4 linked regions of the Saccharomyces cerevisiae S288C genome follow. The protein of the gene in region 2 binds, or shares a complex with, the protein of the main gene of each other region. Each region holds a gene or a part of one and is shown on either strand. Other genes may lie near its edges. The genes, in order: YML6, MHR1, MRPL24 and MRP20.

Evidence for each region.
Region 1: MHR1 (region 2) and YML6 share a complex: the UniProt entries of both Saccharomyces cerevisiae proteins name them as parts of the mitochondrial large ribosomal subunit.
Region 3: MHR1 (region 2) and MRPL24 share a complex: the UniProt entries of both Saccharomyces cerevisiae proteins name them as parts of the mitochondrial large ribosomal subunit.
Region 4: MHR1 (region 2) and MRP20 share a complex: the UniProt entries of both Saccharomyces cerevisiae proteins name them as parts of the mitochondrial large ribosomal subunit.

What each region holds. Positions count from the first base shown.
Region 1 is NC_001145.3:221,707-227,269, forward strand, and holds YML6 (mitochondrial 54S ribosomal protein uL4m YML6), read right to left. Parts: upstream 3,660-5,563; coding exon 3,633-3,659; intron 3,534-3,632; coding exon 2,700-3,533; downstream 1-2,699. Other genes in the region: YOX1 (Yox1p), read left to right, coding at 1-857; 40S ribosomal protein uS13 RPS18B, read right to left, coding at 1,281-1,674, 2,076-2,122; 40S ribosomal protein eS17 RPS17A, read left to right, coding at 4,183-4,185, 4,584-4,991; Smc5-Smc6 complex subunit NSE5, read right to left, coding at 5,288-5,563. UniProt on the Saccharomyces cerevisiae protein: Component of the mitochondrial ribosome (mitoribosome), a dedicated translation machinery responsible for the synthesis of mitochondrial genome-encoded proteins, including at least some of the essential transmembrane subunits of the mitochondrial respiratory chain.
Region 2 is NC_001136.10:1,051,993-1,057,179, reverse strand, and holds MHR1 (mitochondrial 54S ribosomal protein mL67 MHR1), read right to left. Parts: upstream 1,969-5,187; coding exon 1,288-1,968; downstream 1-1,287. Other genes in the region: SUR2 (sphingosine hydroxylase), read right to left, coding at 1-629; HDA2 (Hda2p), read left to right, coding at 2,533-4,557; sphinganine-1-phosphate aldolase DPL1, read left to right, coding at 4,952-5,187. UniProt on the Saccharomyces cerevisiae protein: Component of the mitochondrial ribosome (mitoribosome), a dedicated translation machinery responsible for the synthesis of mitochondrial genome-encoded proteins, including at least some of the essential transmembrane subunits of the mitochondrial respiratory chain.
Region 3 is NC_001145.3:648,273-653,511, reverse strand, and holds MRPL24 (mitochondrial 54S ribosomal protein bL28m MRPL24), read right to left. Parts: upstream 3,477-5,239; coding exon 2,700-3,476; downstream 1-2,699. Other genes in the region: CMC4 (Cmc4p), read left to right, coding at 625-664, 737-918; 60S ribosomal protein eL36 RPL36A, read right to left, coding at 1,602-1,888, 2,352-2,367; GYL1 (Gyl1p), read right to left, coding at 4,232-5,239. UniProt on the Saccharomyces cerevisiae protein: Component of the mitochondrial ribosome (mitoribosome), a dedicated translation machinery responsible for the synthesis of mitochondrial genome-encoded proteins, including at least some of the essential transmembrane subunits of the mitochondrial respiratory chain.
Region 4 is NC_001136.10:1,274,710-1,279,747, reverse strand, and holds MRP20 (mitochondrial 54S ribosomal protein uL23m MRP20), read right to left. Parts: upstream 2,103-5,038; coding exon 1,311-2,102; downstream 1-1,310. Other genes in the region: ATP-binding cassette multidrug transporter PDR15, read right to left, coding at 1-538; DNA-directed RNA polymerase II subunit RPB7, read left to right, coding at 2,579-3,094; DIT1 (Dit1p), read right to left, coding at 3,536-5,038. UniProt on the Saccharomyces cerevisiae protein: Component of the mitochondrial ribosome (mitoribosome), a dedicated translation machinery responsible for the synthesis of mitochondrial genome-encoded proteins, including at least some of the essential transmembrane subunits of the mitochondrial respiratory chain.

The sequences.
Region 1 (5,563 bases), on a different chromosome or scaffold from region 2:
CAGTTGATGAATCACACGAAAACCTTCTACTGACTCCCCTAAATAGCAAAAAGAGAGATTATTCGGTTTCTTCAAAGAAAAACGACATATTAACACCACTCTCTGCAGCGAAGTCGATTATTATCCCCTCTGCCTCTAAGGAAAAAAGACGTGCATTTGCTTTCATCACACACTCGCAGGAGACCTTCCCTAAGAAGGAGCCTAAGATCGACAACGCTCCACTAGCACGCCGAAAGAGAAGAAGAACCTCGTCCCAGGAACTATCTATTCTTCAGGCTGAATTTGAAAAATGTCCTGCTCCATCGAAGGAGAAACGAATTGAGTTAGCTGAATCTTGCCATATGACTGAAAAAGCCGTTCAAATATGGTTCCAGAATAAAAGACAAGCGGTTAAAAGGCAGAGAATCGCCACTTCGAAGTCAACCACTATAATACAAACGGTATCTCCACCATCTCCGCCTCTGGACGTTCATGCTACGCCACTAGCATCCAGAGTCAAGGCGGACATACTTCGTGATGGAAGCTCATGTTCTCGTTCTTCCTCTTCTTCACCGCTGGAAAATACGCCGCCAAGGCCTCATCATTCCCTAAATAGGCGCTCATCCACACCAAGCATAAAGAGAAGCCAGGCTTTAACATTCCATCTAAACCCACAAAAGAAGACGTTGACTCCCGTGAAAACGTCTCCCAACAGCAGAGTAAATAAATTGATCAATAGCATAGATCATTCTCCATCCAAAGCCAAGCGTCCGGTAAGCAATCCCTCCGGCTCCCCTAAAAGGAAGAGAAAATTCGGATTCAAGATCGTCGATCAACAACCGTTGAAGGATCTTGATCCGAACGCTTTCCGTGGTTGATCTAATCTCTAGTCATTATTTATTCGCAAATTCATTTCCCTATACGGCATTCATACATATCATTGTTCACTTCAGTCCTAGCATATATCATAAAATATACAATTGTTTTCTAATTACCTTACGTTTTTTAAAAGACTTCTATAACACCTCTTTTAACTTTACATGTAGTCAAAATAAAGTGCAGTTCCATCGATGGTACTTTCTCACCCCGGTTGAGTGATGTTAACGATGTTTACCGTATAAAACTTAATTATATTATATCTTTTTTTGCTTATATGTTATACATAGAATAAAAAGTTGATTAAACACACATTGGTCTGAAAACACGTGTAGTACTTTCTCCTTTGAAGAATAAAAAAAGAAAATAAAGATAATAAAAACGAAAATAGCGTACAATTATTACTGATAATTTCCTTAATTGATTTAAGCTCTTCTTCTACCAGTGGTCTTGGTGTGTTGACCTCTAACACGTAAACCCCAGAAGTGTCTAATACCACGGTGGGCTCTGATCTTCTTTAATCTTTCCAAGTCATCTCTCAACTTGGATTCGACGTTGTTAGCCAAAGTGTGGTAGTCCTTACCATCAGTAATGTCGTTTTGACGGTTTAAGAACCAGGCTGGGATCTTGTAATGAGTTGGGTTTTGCATGATTTGGACAATTCTTTCCAATTCTTCTTGGGTCAATTCACCAGCTCTCTTGTGCAAATCAACATCAGCCTTCTTACAGACCAAGTTGGAGTAACGACGACCAACACCCTTAATAGTGGTCAAAGCGTAAACAATTTTAATGTTACCATCGACATTGGTGTTCAACAAACTGATTGTAATGGGCGCACAAAAAATTGTACATCTTATTGTTAGTAATTTATTTCACACCACTGCTAGGTTCTTCGAGAAATTTTCAACATGGCGCATCATTTTGGAATGGCGTACGAACATGGAGGGACGATAAATATGAATTTGTCAAGCTGTATTGACTGAAATTTTTAAATTCGCATTGAGTCATATATTGTATTTTCCAATAAACTGTGTATTACTTTAAAATCTAGTGATAATTTTTATAGTAGCGTAGAGTTAATTCGGCCTCGTATTTGGTAACCCGTGACGTTTATTATTCCATCGGAGTGCACTCACATATTTTCAATCGCAATATTAAGCTATTATCCCATGTAATGTGAAACTCTCTCAACATATCTGCACTGTACTCGTAAAACATACCGTAAAATGTGTTGGAAGGAACCTTGTTCTTGTACAACTAAAGACATCTTTACCACTTTCTGCTCTATTGGCTTTTCGTAAGATCGGTTTTTCACTAATAGTATATCTTTAACAATGTTAAAGTACCTGATATTGTTATTACTAAGGACCTTTTCCAGTTAGGATAGCAAAGGTGTCAGAATTACCATAGCCCAGGCATCAACCAGTTTCCGCGCAAGAATTCTCCTCCTCCCGGAACAAGAGGCCTGCGGAGACGAGTTCTTTGCCTCTGAAAGGCGAATCTCTGGAAGGATGAGCTTGGATGGCCCCAGTAAACGCATTTGCCTAGGTTGAGCCGAGCTAGGAGGACACCCCGACGGATAATTTAGCCCTTTTCCAATTTTTCAAAAAAACATGAAATTTCAAAAAAATGTATGGATGTAAAATTCAGTAGTGTGTACGGATTTTACAGTTTCTTGAATGAGACTTGCTTTTACGTCAAATCATTCTGAATTATACAATTCTTTCATTGTGAGATTGATATTTCATGGGCTTATTATTTACAGATTATTTTTTAAATATGTAGATGGAATAATAACTGGATGGGGTAGAAGAAGGGGTCACTTGTATGTGTACATATGAAAATCAGTTAGACACGGAGTGAAGGATTTCTTTCTGATGGGCCATTGCTAGATATTCAAGAGCTTCCAATTCGATAAAAACAGCTTGGGCTCTTAGTATGTCATTTACCTCAACAAGTTCTTTCTGTATAACATCTACTTTTTGTTTGTATGGATCAGAACTCTTTATCAGCCCTTCCCTAGTCTTGTCTGTAATGAAAAGTAATCTCTTACCTTTAAGTTGAAATTCCTCCAAGAATTTTCTGAAGATGACTTCGCCCTCAAAAATCTCTTTGCCCTCAACTGTGTTTGTATTCACAAGATCCAGCCTGTTCAAGTCGAGTTCTGGTGTGGGAGATATTAAGTCGACCTTTTCACCACCAATAACAAACAACTTTCCACTTTTATATTGGTGGCTCAAAGCGTTGTTGAAAGCCATGGAATAAACCTTGGATGGTAGCTCTGTAGTATAGTCGTTTGGTGCAGTTCTTGCCAATGCCCTACCACCATTATGTCTTGTTGGAGAGTTAGCATCCCCGACTCTTGCCCTACCAGAACCCTTTTGGGGCATCAATTTACGTCTGGAAAACCCGTTTTCACTTCTCCCGGGAGGATTTGAGGCGCCTACTCTTCTATTATCGTTTTCATAAACTACGGCTCTCCATAGTATATCACGCCTTAATGGAGCAGCTACAGTTGATGTGGGGACCGGCACAAATGTCAATGGTTCTAATGATGGAAAGGAGCGAACGGTAACTAAGGCGTATTTGGGAGGAATGGCTGCGTTTGGCAGAGGGTTTAACGTGGATTCTGCATGTGCGGTGGCAGTGGTAGCTTGGTAGCGTATAGATTGTAAAGTCTATTGCATAAAATGGTTGTAATGTTAGTATACGGATTCATCTTCAGAAAATCGACAACCAAATGGAAAAAGAGCGAGGGACGATCCTCTGATACGTACTTTCACCAAATTTCTTTTTATCGTCATTATTATTATTTCACCCTAGTTGAACGAAAGATTATTCGCATTGGCGTCCTTTGAATGTATCTCCCCCATTATTAATGGAACCTCTGTATTATACTTTTCTATTTCGAACTTTTTGAGACTCATTCTTGGTATCCCAGGGTGACCCAGTAACCTTTTTTCCGGTTTAACATCCGTGCATTACATCCGTACATTCTATTTTTTATTTTCCAAAAAACTGGGAGTTCTACTTAATTTTTTGGCCCCGTTTGGGAATCTGCTTTGCCACAGGAGGCGGCCTGTCCAGGAGGACAATAGACCAATGGCAGAGACGAGGTTTGTTGGGTACGTGCAACAGCGCCTGGGCTCAGCCGGCTTGCTGTGGGCAACGGAATGGTGCTTCCTAAGCCAATCTTTCATGCTGTAGCTATCGTCGTGATCGCTTTTACTGGCATATTAGCGTAATATGTATGAAATTAGGTATTAATCAAGCATTAATCGACTTAATTCTAAGAAAAGTCAAGATCTCGAGACTAGCAATAACAAAATGGTATGTTAATATGGACTAAAGGAGGCTTTTAAGGACACGTAATATTGAGTCGACATGCGCAATAAAGTCATACAATAAATAAGTTAAAGAAAACATATGACGATATTTTCAGACGATATGGAACTGCGATACCGAAAAAGTGGTGTGATTGAAATGATACTCATGTTTTGGCTATAGTTGCAGTGGCTTTCCAAAAAATTGGGAGTTAAAATGCCTATAGCAGTATCACCGGAGATTCAGTCTCTTGTGGATCTTCTTTTTGCATAGTTGAACAAGGGATAATATGGCGCCATGAACTGCCTCTACACATTATAATGTGTTTTTGATATCAGTATACTAACAAGTTGAATTGCATTTACAAACTTTTTATTTTGTATTGCTTTTCGTCATTTTAATAGGGTAGAGTTAGAACCAAGACCGTCAAGCGTGCTTCTAAGGCTTTGATTGAACGTTACTATCCAAAGTTGACTTTGGATTTCCAAACCAACAAGAGACTTTGTGATGAAATCGCCACTATCCAATCCAAGAGATTGAGAAACAAGATTGCTGGTTACACCACCCATTTGATGAAGAGAATCCAAAAGGGTCCAGTTAGAGGTATCTCTTTCAAATTGCAAGAAGAAGAAAGAGAAAGAAAGGACCAATACGTCCCAGAAGTCTCTGCTTTGGACTTGTCTCGTTCTAACGGTGTTTTGAACGTTGACAACCAAACTTCTGACTTGGTTAAATCTTTGGGTTTGAAGTTGCCATTATCTGTTATCAACGTTTCTGCCCAAAGAGACAGACGTTACAGAAAGAGAGTTTAAAATTAAATTAGAAAGCTATTTAAAATAATTTACTATTCAAAATATTTGCCTTTTCTTTTTTAATTTTTGTTTATTCTTTAATGTATAATTAAATAAAAAAATATTATTATATTTACTAATTAAGAGCGAAGCGTTTTATGTAGCTCCTTGGCCATACATACATTGCGCGCAATGTTTATGCTTTGATACCAAAGGGCTATCATCTTTGACTTGGAATTATTTATATTTTTTAACATTGACTCTGTTTCCTTTCTTACTCATTATACTTATCCAGAAAAAATAGAAAAATTAGTTACTTATTCTATAATTACACTTTTATCATGAACGCCAAACATTTGGGAGACTATGGGATACAATAAAGGCGGATCATTTCCTAAGTTAAGCGCCTTGGCCCACTGTCGCCTCCCTGAATCATTTTTCTCAATCGCATGTAACATTTCTAACTGTTCCTTAGCGTCTAATATCGCTTCGGTCCCGATCAAATGCAGAAGATATCGTAGTAGGACCAGTAGGCAGACGTCACACTTTTCAATATTCAAAACGGCTTCTTCATACGAAGCTTGGCTACATTG
Region 2 (5,187 bases):
ACAGGATTGTTGAAAAGAGCACCGTAAGCATATGGCACGTATAGTTCATGATGAACAGAGTGGAACCATTTGTATAAGGTCTTATTCATATGCATCAATCTATGCAAAAAGTATTGCCATGTATCAACGAATAAAAAGCCTGCAAAGATCTTCAAAGCGGACATTCCGTACATATAGCCGTAATAAATAGCGGCATCTGGAATAATCCGAGGAAGGTCTGCACGAAGCTTCCACATGGCATTTTCTTCAAACCCAGTCATGTAGATCGGCTCGAAGTGCATAAAGATAAGGCCAACAATGGTCTGTATGATATGTTGTAGAATCACTTCAAGGAAAACATGCATTCTCGACGCCTTGTTCCTCTTGGCAACCTCTTCGCTCGGATGAATTCTGTACTTCTCAGCCAGATGGAAAGTGTCTATTACATGGAATATACCAGACAACGCCCAGTAGGCAACAACCGGCGCAACCAAGGCCAGCACACCATCACTCATTTCCGGCAGCAAGGATTCCTTGGGGCGTAAATTAATGGCAGGGGCCTTGGCATAGTGCATAAACCCAAATGAGGTCTTGAGACCAAATGCTAGTGGAAAGGAACCGGCTGCAGTTGCATTCGATGTTACGTTCATCGTATATTTTCTTTTCGTATACACCCTCTTCGGACTAGAATGTTAGAAATACCCAGACCAAACAGTAAAGACGAAGACCCGGAGTAAATGCAAGGGAATAGAAGATATGTAAATCGTTACTTCTTTTATAATCCCAAAACACGAAACGAAAAATGCGGCAACAACAGCGCAGCAGGATGAAGAAAGAGTGAAATAAATCAAGACAATAGCAAACAAGAAATTTTTAGTAACCCAAAAAGAAATTTTTCTGTGAAAATTGGTGCGGAAAGACTAAGAAAAACCGCAGAAGCCGGAGAAAAGCGCGACTGCCCGAAGAAGGACGCGGGGTGAGGGAATAAGACAATAGGAAACAGGAGGTCGAAAAGCTTATTAAGCTGTGCAAGTGAAAAAGATAGAGAAATGACGATAAGGTGAGGAGGATAAAACGCGTTTCAAGTCACACAACAGCAGCAGTAGCAGCGGCAGCAGCAGCAGCGGCAGTAATAAAGACTAGCCCTGTGTATTCCTGTTTTGACCTATCTTCTTTTTGCGGATACCCGCACAGCACGTGTTTTTCCGTGGAACGGGATTTGGCAGAAAGGTTTGCATTGCACTATTTACATGAGCTTATATATGTTTTTTTTTCTACCTGCATTTGTATATCTAATGACGAAGCGTTCTACTGGGAAGACACTTCCGTCTGCTCTGTAGGATGTGATTCGAGCTTAGCTAGTTCCTTCAGAATAACGCTTTCTTCCCTCGCAATGTTCCCCACACGCTGAATAAGCTTGTGTTCCAGCCCCAGAGCATTGAACACATCGTAATTCCAATGTTTGTCCTTGTCACCCATCCTCCATGGGTCCTCCCAGTATATGGACGGTTTTTTGGCGGGTACTGTCTGCTTTTCTGCTGGTGTGGCATTCTCAAACACCTTCAACAAGGACTCCCGCAAGTCTGCCACTGCCTCTTGACAATATGTAGGTCTATACTGTCCGCTATACCAGACGTGCCCGTTAGAGTCCTTTTTTCTTAGCTTGTCACTCTCCTTACGCTGTGCCACATCACGGAGGTATCTCAACCGGCAGAGGTTCTGGTATAGATGGACACTCTGCTTATAGTTTTGCAAGTTCACTACACACATACATTTCCAGATGTCCCTTCTCAATGATGGCTTTCTGTTGCTCCAGTTTGGTCTCACAAACAGCTTATCCACCTGTGTTTGCGAAAAGTTGGGAAATTGAGAATATAGTACTTGTCCATACTCTAGGTTCCTAAAGATGTATACCTGGGGTGGGATTATCTTTGTCTTTTCGAACCATGAAGCGGGGCGGAATCTTGAAATTGAATGGTTTACCTTCATGCTTTTGCCCTGAAATATCGATTTTTCCGTCGCTGTTTCTCTATTTATTCCTCACAGGATCTCCTCTTTCCGTTTCCTCTACATTTCATCATATAGCCTTACTTTCACTTTTTCCTTTAGTATCTGAATATCGGAAAAGAGAATATTGTAGGAAATGTATTTTTCCCGTCTACCGTACAAAATGAGTCGTTAACTTGACAGGAATCATCAACTTTATGCACGTCTGAAATTTAACCGTGGCGTATATGGTTCATTGCTTACACGAATGTCTCCTAGTTTATATTTCCTGAGAAAGTTCTCTACAGCCCAAATAAATAGTTATATAGATATATAAGAAAAGCGACAACAAAAGAAAAAAAAAAAATACAGTCCTACTAAAATAACATAATTGCGGCACAGAAGAGTAACCACAACTAGTAGAACATCGAGAAAGGAGAGGTAACAAAAAATTTTTTTTTTTAAAAAGACAGAATTGAGAACGATTGAAGGCGTTTAAGTAGTAGTAAAAGTATTTGGCTTCATTAGTGTGTGAAAAATAAAGAAAATAGATACAATACTATCGACATGAGTAGGAAAAATTCTAAGAAACTAAAAGTCTATTACTTACCTGTAACGCTAACCCAATTTCAAAAGGATTTATCAGAAATTTTGATATCCCTGCACGCCAAGTCATTCAAAGCAAGCATAATAGGAGAACCACAGGCAGATGCAGTGAACAAGCCTTCCGGCTTACCTGCTGGCCCTGAAACACATCCGTATCCAACGCTATCACAAAGGCAATTAACCTATATCTTTGATTCAAACATAAGAGCAATAGCCAATCATCCTTCCCTTCTAGTGGACCATTATATGCCTCGACAGCTTTTGAGAATGGAGCCCACGGAAAGCTCTATTGCTGGGAGCCACAAGTTTCAAGTTCTCAACCAGCTCATTAATTCGATATGCTTTAGAGACAGAGAGGGCTCACCAAACGAAGTTATAAAATGTGCCATCATCGCACACAGCATAAAGGAATTAGATTTGCTAGAAGGTTTAATATTAGGCAAGAAATTCAGAACCAAGAGACTTTCCGGTACATCTCTTTATAATGAGAAACACAAATTCCCTAATCTACCTACGGTCGATTCCACAATAAATAAAGATGGAACACCAAATTCTGTAAGCAGCACAAGCTCTAATTCCAATTCGACCTCTTATACAGGTTATTCTAAGGACGACTATGATTACTCAGTGAAAAGAAACCTGAAAAAAAGAAAAATAAATACGGATGACTGGCTGTTTTTAGCCACTACCAAACATCTCAAACACGATCAATACCTATTGGCTAACTATGATATAGATATGATAATTAGTTTTGATCCAATGTTGGAAGTTGAATTGCCCGCTTTGCAGGTACTGAGGAATAATGCCAATAAGGATATTCCGATAATAAAGCTATTAGTACAAAATTCTCCAGATCATTACTTGTTAGATTCTGAAATCAAGAATTCAAGTGTTAAATCGTCGCATTTGAGCAATAACGGTCATGTCGATGATAGCCAAGAATATGAAGAGATCAAATCCTCCTTACTATATTTTTTGCAAGCAAGGAATGCTCCGGTGAACAACTGTGAGATTGATTATATTAAATTGGTAAAGTGTTGTTTAGAGGGGAAAGATTGCAATAACATTTTACCGGTTTTGGATTTGATAACGTTAGATGAGGCCTCCAAAGATTCGAGCGATTCTGGGTTTTGGCAGCCTCAATTAACAAAATTGCAATATTCGTCTACAGAATTGCCCCTTTGGGACGGACCATTGGATATCAAAACCTACCAAACAGAGTTAATGCATAGAGCCGTCATAAGATTGCGAGATATACAGGACGAGTATGCCAAAGGCACTGTTCCACTGTACGAGAAACGATTAAACGAAACTCAACGGCAGAACCAGTTGGACGAAATAAAGAATTCTGTTGGTCTTACATTCAAGAAAAAACAAGAAGTGGAAAAATCCATTAATGACTCTGAAAAAAGGTTGAAGCATGCGATGACAGAATCTACCAAGCTACAAAATAAAATAAATCACTTACTGAAAAATAGGCAGGAACTAGAGAATTTCAACAAATTGCCCTCGAATACTATTTCATCAGAAAATCATCTGGAAGAGGGATCTGCCTTAGCAGACAAGTTGAAGGAATACATAGACAAAAATGCGACTCTTTTTAATAAGTTAAAGGAACTCCAACAAGCAAATGCGGAAAAATCAAAGCTCAATGATGAACTACGTTCCAAATATCAAATAGAATCTTCAAAAGCCGCAGAGTCCGCGCAAACATTGAAAATTTTGCAAGAATCAATGAAGTCTTTAGAAAACGAAGTTAATGGTCCACTGACTAAATTTTCCACAGAAAGCTTGAAGAAGGAGCTGGAACGTTTACAGAATGATTTTCAGTCGCTTAAAGCAAGAAACAAATTCTTAAAGAATTACATAACCTTAATGAACCGACAGTACGACTTAAAAAACAAAAACAACGTCCAGGTGGAAAAAGCTGCCGCAAATGGTACACGGTTTAGATCAACAAGATCCAATACCCCTAATTACACATGAATGTGACGTTTCCTAAAAGAAGTAGCCTGTATAATATAGAGAGATTTTATATACTTTCTTAATGAATTAGACTGTTTCTACAAGTATTTGACACTGGAAAAAAAGAGAAAGTACATAGAGATTGGCCAAATATTTAAATCTACACAGTTGCCTATCGTTTATCGCCTTATTCTTCAGAAACATTTCATCAACTACTCTGGTGCATTATTTCATGTTAGTTACCATATATACCGGCCGGCCGCATCGGGGTTTTTTGATTGAAAAAATTGGTATATTTTCAGTACACATATAAATAAAACCCTCAATTTGCCTCTCCAACCGTTATAACTATTCCAGATCCTCTTTACCGAGCAAGTAGGCTAGCTTCTGTAAAGGGATTTTTCCATCTAATACAATGAGTGGAGTATCAAATAAAACAGTATCAATTAATGGTTGGTATGGCATGCCAATTCATTTACTAAGGGAAGAAGGCGACTTTGCCCAGTTTATGATTCTAACCATCAACGAATTAAAAATAGCCATACATGGTTACCTCAGAAATACCCCATGGTACAACATGTTGAAGGATTATTTGTTTGTGATCTTTTGTTACAAGCTAATAAGTAATTTTTTTTATCTGTTGAAAGTTTA
Region 3 (5,239 bases), on a different chromosome or scaffold from region 2:
ATGGCAACAGAAAGAGCAGCTAGCTCGAACAGCCAGCTCTTTTTGAGGGGGGTAACACGTATGCTGGCAAAGGGCACAGGGTCTTATTACCCCTCCTTTGGTACGGTGGTCACCACAGTAGCAGAAGCGCTCGGATCATCGCTTCCACGTCATGCCCACGTTTCGTTTCCATGCGGAAAAATGCCCTCCTTAACATGACCACTTTGGGGGTTTTTGTATATTGTTTCTTAATTGCTGATTTGTGCAGTATCCTATCGTTCGTTCTTCACCCCTCCCCTTAAACCTTGCTAGCGTTTTGATATTTTTTGTTTCCTGTCACGTTCAATACTACAAATTACACATCTCAATCGGAATCGCGGGCGCAGAGTTTTTCCGATGTTGCCCGTCGCTAATATTTGGCGACTTTTGCACGTGAACGACGTCCCCACAATAAATTTCGCAAGGAGCGGGCGTGCGTTGTTAACGTCATCCGTTAGCGAGACTTTTACGGATATTACTTTTCACCCATGGGGTGTATATGAGAGTTCAGAAGAGGGTGTGGAGAGACAGAATATTACTGTTCTTTTTTTCCAAGATATTGAGCGTTTTTTTAGTTGTTGAGATTTGTTCAAATAAGAGGTAAATATGTCTAATCCATGCCAGAAGGAGGCCTGCGCCATCCAAGGTTTGTAATATTAACTTCAAAAGATTCGATCGTTTTTTTCTTTTCACTAACGTTTTTTCACATTAATTTTAGATTGCCTTCTATCACATCAGTACGATGATGCTAAATGCGCTAAAGTTATAGATCAGCTGTACATCTGCTGCTCAAAATTTTACAATGACAATGGAAAAGATTCACGGTCACCCTGCTGTCCGCTACCTTCGCTTCTTGAGTTGAAGATGAAACAGCGAAAGCTTACACCAGGGGACAGTTGAGGCTTCCAATTGGCCCTTCTTTCTACGTATGTATGAACTAGCAATTGAAAAAAAAAAAAAGGTATGTGCGTGAAGAGAATCTAATCATAAGTACATTATTCGTACTTCCAGGGAAGATCCACTCACTTTCTTTATGAAAAAGAAATATATTTATCTAAGATCAACCGCGAGCACGACAGTGAAATAGTATTAGTACTCCACCGTATAGTAAACGATTAAGTAAACTATATACGTCCACCGCCTAAAAAAACTGTCGAAACAGAATCTCTAAAACCAAGACGAATCGTGACTCTGGGTGTCTATTATAAAAGACATTATTACCCTTTTTCAAAAAACCAAAAAAAGGAAAAGAAAAGATTTTTTAAATACCAATAAAGATTCTTGCACCACAGGAACTTCTTCTAAACTCACCGCTTTATATACCAGAAAAAGATATAACGGTACGAAGAAAAAATAATATTCATACTTTTCGGGTAACACTTATATTGCTTCAGAAAAAAAATGTAGGGTTGGTAACGACTATCAGCTCAGTACATGGGCTTTTTGCATGGCTAGTGGTACTTTACTCTAGGCCCTCTCATGTGTGAAAGTATTGGTGGTTTTTTTTTTGGTGTTATTTTTTCCTAAGTTAAAAAGAAAATATGATATCTATATATATATTACAAAAATCAGTTTTTAGAAACTTAGTGACGACGAGAAGCAGCAATGATGTTGTTCATTTCTTCGACCTTAGCCTTGGCTCTGGTGAAAGAACCCAATCTCTTCTTGGCGACCTTTCTAGCTCTCTTTTCACCAGAGTTTCTTATTAGATCAATCAATCTTCTTTCGTATGGAGACAAACCAGCGATTTCTCTGACCAAAGATCTTACGAACTTGGTTCTGTTGGAAGCAGCACCTTTCTTGTAAGAGATTTTTGGAGCTGGGGTCATGCTAGTGACCTTCTTACCTTTGTTTAAACCAATAGCAATTCCTAAATATAAGGACACAGGTTGTCTTCAGTTAGTAACATGTGAAATAGGCATACATATACACGTGTATATGTGTCGGCGGGAAGTGACGTATAATGTACGGCTTTGTATAGCATCTTTTTGTGATTGTTTTCCATGGCAATTCTTACAATGGTGCAACTACTAAAATGTTCCATTTGAAGGCGTTTTCGCAATACTATTCTTTTTGTAAAATGGACCTCATCTTCAAACACAATAGTTTTTTAGATAGGAGTGAAGAGATAAGCCTGTGTATGCATATTAAATGGTATTTTTCCTCTGGCTATTTCCATTGGTCATTAATCACTCAAAATTATATAATATTCTTGTTTTTGTTTCCTTTTAAGTTTTCAATGCACTCATGTTCTTCTCGTATTTGGGGTAAACCCCTTTATAAGTTCGAAAATCGTCATAACCCGTTCAGTTCCTTGTTTATGTCTCACATACCTGTCTTAACGGTCATTTCTTATTGTGTTTGCTGTCTTTCTTGTTTCTTTGATACTTGTAAATCAGTACTATACTGTTCAACATCCTGAAATCTCTGATTTCAAATAAATTTCATAGGAGCGGAGGCTTCCATTCAGTTGGAATTTAACTTCAAAAAAAAACTGTGAAATGTACGGGTGTAAAACAGTCTAAAAAATGAATTGCCAATTAATGTAGCAAGCATATACGCATCAATAATGTTCAGAATGTGTGCATACCTACATATGTACAAACAGATATGCTTTTTTATATACAGGGGAAAACCAACGATATTTTCGGAATGGCAATTATCTTCTTTATTTCTTCCTTTTATACGGTGATGGTGGATAAGTCGAATTTATGATCCTCTAATCTAGCTAGGATATCCTTGACTGGAACGTCGGCAAATAACTCGACAAATTTTTTGTAGTTCAGGTCCTTCCCTACTGACCTATATTCCAATTTCTCTAAAGGATATAAAAATGACATCAATCTTCTTCTTCCAACTGATATTTTTCTTGGTGAGCCGTTTACTATTTCATCATAGTAAATTTTGGCCTTTTTACCACCAGCCATTTCTATGATAGGTGCATCCTTATGTGGGGGATTCTCTATTTCATCTTTTCTTTTTAAAACCCTATAACGAAGCTTCCATCCGGTCGGCCCTAATTCTTTTATTCTTGCAGATTTTTCCTTTGTTAAATAGTTGTCAATCCCTCCTTCTTTACTGATTGTTTTTAAAACTTTAGCGGTCATTTTGATACTGATTTTTCTGTTCAGAGTCTCACTCCAGAGACCTTTTTTGACAACATTTGGCAACCACTTCTTCCTCGTTTTGGCTTTACTTTCAGAAATATTGTTACCAAACTGAACGAAAGATCCACCATATAGACCTTTGTTACTCTGTTTGAAGATATTAGATTCCCCATACTTGTAATCTGGAAATTTCTTTCTTTCTTTTGGCATATGTAAAGGTTTAGCATCACCAACTTGGTAGTTCGGTTGTTTGGCAATCTTCCTTGTTTCAATCAGTCTCCATTGCCTGAAGTTTTTTACGGAAGAGGTAAAGCCTCTCGTTAATTGGAATGGTCTGAAAATTTTTTGCATATTCTTCTGTGAGCTTTTTCTTCCTTAAACTGATTTTTCTATACCCCTGGGCACTAACTTCTAATAGCTCTAGCTGATCAGCTGTTTTTGGTTTCTCAAATGAATTTCACAAAGCGTGCCCGGATGCGAGAATACGAGATTATTTAATTAAATATAATTGCAGAAAGAGAAGAAGGAAACGTACTAAGCTCAATTTGTCCACAGTATAATCAACAAAATTGCACATTTAATTGTTTTTACTAAAAGTTTAGGAAACCGTTGTCACGATGTAATTAAAATTCTTGAATTCTTGATATGAAGGCTCTTTTCATGATGTGCCACATGAGTACAGCCGATATTTGAGAAACGTAGAATAAAATAAAACGTTAAACGCCAAGATATTTACTGTTGCAAAGTTTAGAATGGTATGGAAAGGGTTACTGTTAACTGCTAACTCGAGTATATATTGTCACGATTGTGGTTCATTATTTCTGCTAGAAGTAATGCTTACTAACAATTTCTCGGTCTTATTTATATCCTAAACACTCTCCTTTACTACTTCATCGTCACTGAATTCTTAGTCCATGAACAGTTTTAAAGTACTCTATTTTCTTTATCCGGCTTCCCTAACCTCATATATTATCTTGCAACTTTATACAATTGAAGCTCTCAAATGTCAACAAAATATGAAATAATCAAAAATCAAGAAATAAATTTATCATTATATTTAGTCATGTATCATTCAAGGGGAGCAGTAGCTGATATACACAGTTTAACTATTTAAAAACCTTTTTAAATCCTGACCAGCCGGCTCCCAAAGGATTATTTTTAGAATTAGAATATTCGAATAACGTACCATTTTTGTTTGCAGTTTTTATTTCTTCAATAAGCCTTTCTAGTTCTGAAATCCTATCCTGCAATTTCAAATTTTCGTCCATTACTTGGGTATTCTTTTTCATTGTCTCTTCCAAATCTTTCTTTAAATCATTGGGCACATATACACCTAAAACTTGCTTCTTTTTTTCTGAATCCAACTTTTTCTTCAAATCTAAAATTTGAAGTTTGTAACCATTATTTTCATTTAATACAGACTCGATATTAAGCCGATTTTTCACTAACTCGTTCGCAATTGTCACATGCTCTCTATTTAAAGATGTGTAGTCGTTTTCTAATTTACGAACATGCTTTTGTAAATGTAAATTTTTTTCCGTGATAGACTTATATTGCACTTCTTTTTCATTGTCCAATCTGTGAATTTCCTCATATTCAGAAGAATATTTCTTCATAGTCTTTGGGGTTATTGCTACTTTCATCATAGAGTCTTGTAGTAATTTATCCATACATTCATTTGAGAGAAGAGTGTCACCGCGTGTACCATCATTCTGCTTAATATAAGCATCTAACAGACCTGATTTCAATAGCTCCAGCATATCATCAAAACCCATTTTTAACAGATGGTCTCGGGAATTAGATAAAAGTGTGGCTAAAATTCTCATAATAGAGTCAATACCTTCTAAAAATACCATATCACCGATACGTGGTTGAATTTCAGTGGGAAGTTTCTTTTGAAACAGTGTCGTGAAGAAACCGGGCAAAAACATGGAAGAACGGACGCCTTTTTCAACCATGTGGTTGTGAATTTCAGGATAAAATTCTTCTACAAGTCTATCAAATTTATAGCAAAGAATATCGATCTCAGAAGCACTTGGTAAGAACAAGAGTCTTAAACCGTAAACTTTCATTAGGCGTACAAGTAGACCAAATGCATTTGCCTCCTCCTCGCA
Region 4 (5,038 bases), 220 kb from region 2:
CTTCTTTACTGGGCTTCAGTAATCTGAGCCCTTTCGTAAGCAGCTTTGGTACGATGTTAGCGAAAGTTGACTGGTATGACACATCGGCGGAGTCTCCGGAGGCGCTTAGATTCTTCCATACACAACCGAGTGAGTATGGTTTATAGAAATCCGGGTCCGAAGTACAAATATTTGCCATGTTCTGTACCCACGCCGTACTGGAGAATTGATCACTGTTAGGGTCCAATTTGGGATTGTATCCCGGGGTGTCCGGGTTAGTGAACACCGGGTTCACACCTTCCATGTCCGTAGAAAATACGGATCTCGAGTCCGCATTGTGCGCATTATGGTTGCTGGAAGAGCTATTGTTTGAGTTAGCAGTGTATAGTAAACTCTGCGATGTGAGTGTTCTAGCCAACTCATGCACCCTTTCCGCGGCTTCGCTGTCGAAACCGCGGTATGGATGCTGTCCAATGGATTGGGCGGCAGAGTTCGAGCTCGAGCTTGAGCTCGAGCTCCGCGAATTTCGTTCCTCTACGTCTCTGATATCTGATGACATAGGTTTTTGATAATTATAAGTGTGTTTGCTTGTGTGTGTGTGTGTTTATATATTCGTATAGTAACTGTTATACGCTAATAGTATTAGTGATGTGATGTTCTTAACAGTAGTATACTTGAATACTGCATATGACGTATCTACAACAAGACTAGCAAATCTCTTTACAGCAACATAAGAAGGCAATTTGGTCCAGGTAGAGAGCTCCTGCTTATATATTCCTCAGATGTACATGCTCCCTTTCCGATCCCTACTACCAAAGTCTCGCACAGCAGTAGCAGTATTCTTTTCCCTCATCGTCTTACCATCGTGCCATACCTTAACCCCGGCACCGTGCGTTGCAGATCCGCCCCTCGCGGACCCGCTCGAGACTCTCCGCGGAACGAGCATGCGGACGGCTCCGCGCCACTGTCTCCGCAGGCATCCGTGCATGGCATCCCGCGGAAGCGACCCTGAAAATAATAAGTAAAGCAACCAATGTTCTTGCTCTTTGCGCGAACAAAAATAAAAAAAGAACAGAAATACAGGCCACCTTCCAGGGCAGGGGAAGGGGATGCCATCATCATTCTTTTCTTCCGTAAGGCATGTTCTACAGCCACTTCATATATTTTTGCGTTTGTTGCTCGGAAAAAGTAATGTTCTTAATTTTCTTTCTTTTTTTTTTTTTCTGTTTAGAGATTATGTAGTTTGCTCCGTATATACAAGTGTGAGGGGTGCAAGATGCTTATCTGGGTATTTGCGTGTGGGTTAACGAAGGGGTGGAATGGGAAACCTTCTAATGTAGATCTTCTATGTACCTGTTCAGGGCAATTAGTTTATCTGCGCGCTGCAGTTCGGCGGCGTGACGCTCTCGCTTATTGTCTATCTCTCGTTTTAAGAAGCGAGGTATAAAAGGCTGGGCCACCCGTTCGTAAGGCCCCACGACTCCGTCGAATGCTGTGCCGGGTTTGTTGGCGTCTGAGCCCAAGCAGTTAAGTCTTTCTTCACGGTACTTTTCCATGTTGTCAGGCGTGGTGCTGTCCCAGAAGGAGTTTTCGTCCGGACGGGGTTCTTCGGGCCAAATGAAGGGTTCTTCCATCTCGATAGTCATTTTCTTGATCTGCGGTTCTCTAAACCGCGTCGTCTGTAGGTTCATACGGTTAAACTTCCCATGAAGCAGCTGCGTCGTAATGTTCATTGCTCTTAAGCCGTAGATATGATAAAGATAGTCTCTGAGATCCAGTTTGTTGAACGATTTTGGGACGATGAATTTTGCTTGATACGGTGTGTGCTTCGCGTTGGGCCTCAAGAGGATGATCCTGGCCTTGGGAAAGTAGACTTTGTTACCTCCAACTTTGAAATGCTCCTTTCCCTGCTCTATGCCCGCCTTTGTCCACTTATAAATCTTCTCGCTTACGTTTATATCTACTTCGCGATCGCTGCCGCTTTTGTCGAGTATTTTGGAGGAACTCTCCACCACTGAGGCTAGTGATCTTATTGGAACCTGCTCTGGCTTGCAACTTCCTACTGCAAGTGTTTTTTGCAAAGGATACAACATATTCTTCGTTCCAACCGTCAATCGTGGCATATTCTGTGTTGGTGTTGCGTACTTTTTATTTTTATTTTATTTTTTTTTCTGTTGGAGCCTGCTAATCAAAGCACATTATTTGTTAGTAGCGTTACGTTCTCCACAAGAAATGTATGTACATTTCAAGTTCTAATACCATCGTTTTCCCTTTTTCATCGAGAAAATTCGTATAACGCGATTACGTATTAAGTGATCTTCTGTGGGTTTCAACGGCTATTTTGAAAAATACAAGGAAAATAAATGCGGTATTCCTATATCCCAGTGAAAATGCCAATAACGTAGACAAGCTCACTTCGTCGATTTATTCTCTAACATTGGGTCGATCAGGTCTGTCCACCTATCTCTTCTCCCAGAATATCATAGCCTTTCTTTTTCCGTTTCTCCTCCTACACCATTCTCCTTTGCGATTAGACAGTGGGAAAGTCCAAGAATAGATTCACATTTCAACCACTGTATAAATAACTCAATTTCTGAGAATGTTTTTTATTAAAGACCTTTCGCTTAATATTACCCTTCATCCGTCCTTTTTCGGTCCTCGAATGAAGCAATATCTAAAGACAAAACTATTGGAAGAGGTTGAAGGTTCGTGTACGGGTAAATTCGGATATATTCTTTGTGTCCTAGACTATGATAATATAGATATTCAACGTGGGAGAATATTGCCCACAGATGGGTCCGCCGAGTTCAACGTGAAATATAGAGCTGTAGTTTTCAAACCATTTAAAGGGGAAGTAGTGGACGGCACAGTCGTTTCATGTTCTCAGCACGGGTTCGAAGTGCAAGTAGGTCCAATGAAAGTATTTGTGACAAAGCATCTGATGCCTCAAGATTTAACCTTTAATGCGGGTTCAAACCCACCATCATACCAAAGTTCCGAGGATGTCATCACCATAAAAAGTAGAATTAGAGTTAAAATTGAAGGTTGTATCAGTCAAGTGAGTTCTATTCACGCAATCGGTAGTATCAAAGAAGATTATTTGGGTGCTATTTAATCACTTGTTACTCCGCAACGCTTTTCTGAACGCCCGCCTTCGCCTTTCATTATCATTCTCATCCCAAAAGAACTGTGCATGTTATTTGCAATACTTCATATACGCTCTGTATTATTAATAGTATCATTAATTACGTCAATTGAAATTCAAAATATCATCTTTGACAGTAACATCTATCCTCTTAGACAACTAGGGCCATTGCAGTGTCTCGAAACCATTAATATCACTGAAAAGATGAAAAGAAAGGCAAATATATATTGATCACTAATTTTCTAAGCTAAAGAATCTATTCCCCCTCTGTTAAATGGAATTGTGTGAAATAAAATATTATAAAATCAGAACTTTGGGGGGGAAACATAAAAAAATGAGAAAAAGAAAACGAACTAACTAATGTTTAAGTAAAAGAACAAAAAGGTAGACCAATGTAGCGCTCTTACTTTATTAAGAGATTTTCTTGATAACGAAATGTCCTCCTTCTCCAATATCGAAACGAGTATCTTTCCATACACCATCATACATACCCTTTTCGAGAGCCTCCTTGACTACTTTTGATTTTGTCAAAAAGTATTTCTCCTTTTCATCCTCAACCTTCACGACACAATTATGCCAAGGTGTGGGAATATGTAAAAAATCTTCAAATTTGGGTTCATCAAGGTCTTCTAACGAACTAACAATAGAACACTGTTCGTTGGAGATTACTTTTATACCAAATTTGGGCCCGCTGTTAGTGTGCGCATGAATAGAAATTCTCAAATGATGAGGGAATATCAATTCCACTAAGTTCGAATACGCGTCATTTCTCTTAATCATGTTAAAAGCGATCATTGAAATGATTTTCTTGAATTTTTTTCTGGAATAACTTTGGAAATGTTCCAGTAGAGATAAATCTTCCATCATAAAACGTGAAAAGCCCCTATACAGATGCAATCTTGGATGTCCTTCTATTGCAATCTGCTTTCTCAAACGACCTGCATCTGTATCACAGCCTTTCATCAAAATCTGTCTCGACAAATCGGACTTAGGACAGATTTGAGTTCCTGTGTAGTGTGCAACTTCAACATCACTAACCCACTTTGGATCGAAAACTTTACTAGCTGCACCGCTAAAAAATAAATCGTTCAATCCACAAAAGCCAATGGCGTCAACACCAGGTATAGCCACTCTTTTATACAGTTCGTGCAATTTGGTCGTGTAAGTACTCACGACGTCATCATCGACCCCAATACAATCGGAGAAAACATGGCCATCACTAACTATCCAAATTTTCATACCCGGTGGATATATCTTGACAAGGTCTTGTGTGGCTTTTATTAATCTTTTCAAAGCGAGTTCTTCGCCTTTGTCAGGAACGGAACCGTACACTTTTTGCTCATTAGATGACTTACATGGAAACGCTGGCAAGATGCATTCAATTCTCAAATATCGATCGGTAAAATATCTTGAACGTTCAATAAAATAATCACGGCCACCAAAATTCCATTGATCATTAACTATTGTGTTTTTCAAATTTTTCTCAAAAAAATCTGCAAATAATTCGTGATACTTAACTTCTTTGGTTACAATTGGATGTTCACTTAGAGATAATTGAGATTGGTCTAAAATATGATATACGAACCAGTTATTGAAAGAATTTTCATTCTCAACTGTTGTAACACACCCACGAATCTGGCGTTCGTCATCGCGTGTATATTCAGAAATCTTTATTGCCACTCCTAAATTATTGGTAAATTTATTTGCTAAAGAAGCTGGCAAAATTCTTTCAGAAACCCGTCCACTTACTTCGGATTCAGAAAAGTCCAGATTGTGAATAGTGTTGATAAAGTCGAGCCATTGGTCTCCAAATTTACAATTCTGTTTTTCCTCTAAAGAGTAAAAATCGTCACATTTGTCGCTTCTGCAATACAGGGCCAGAAATTTACTATATGTAGACAAATCGGCCCCATT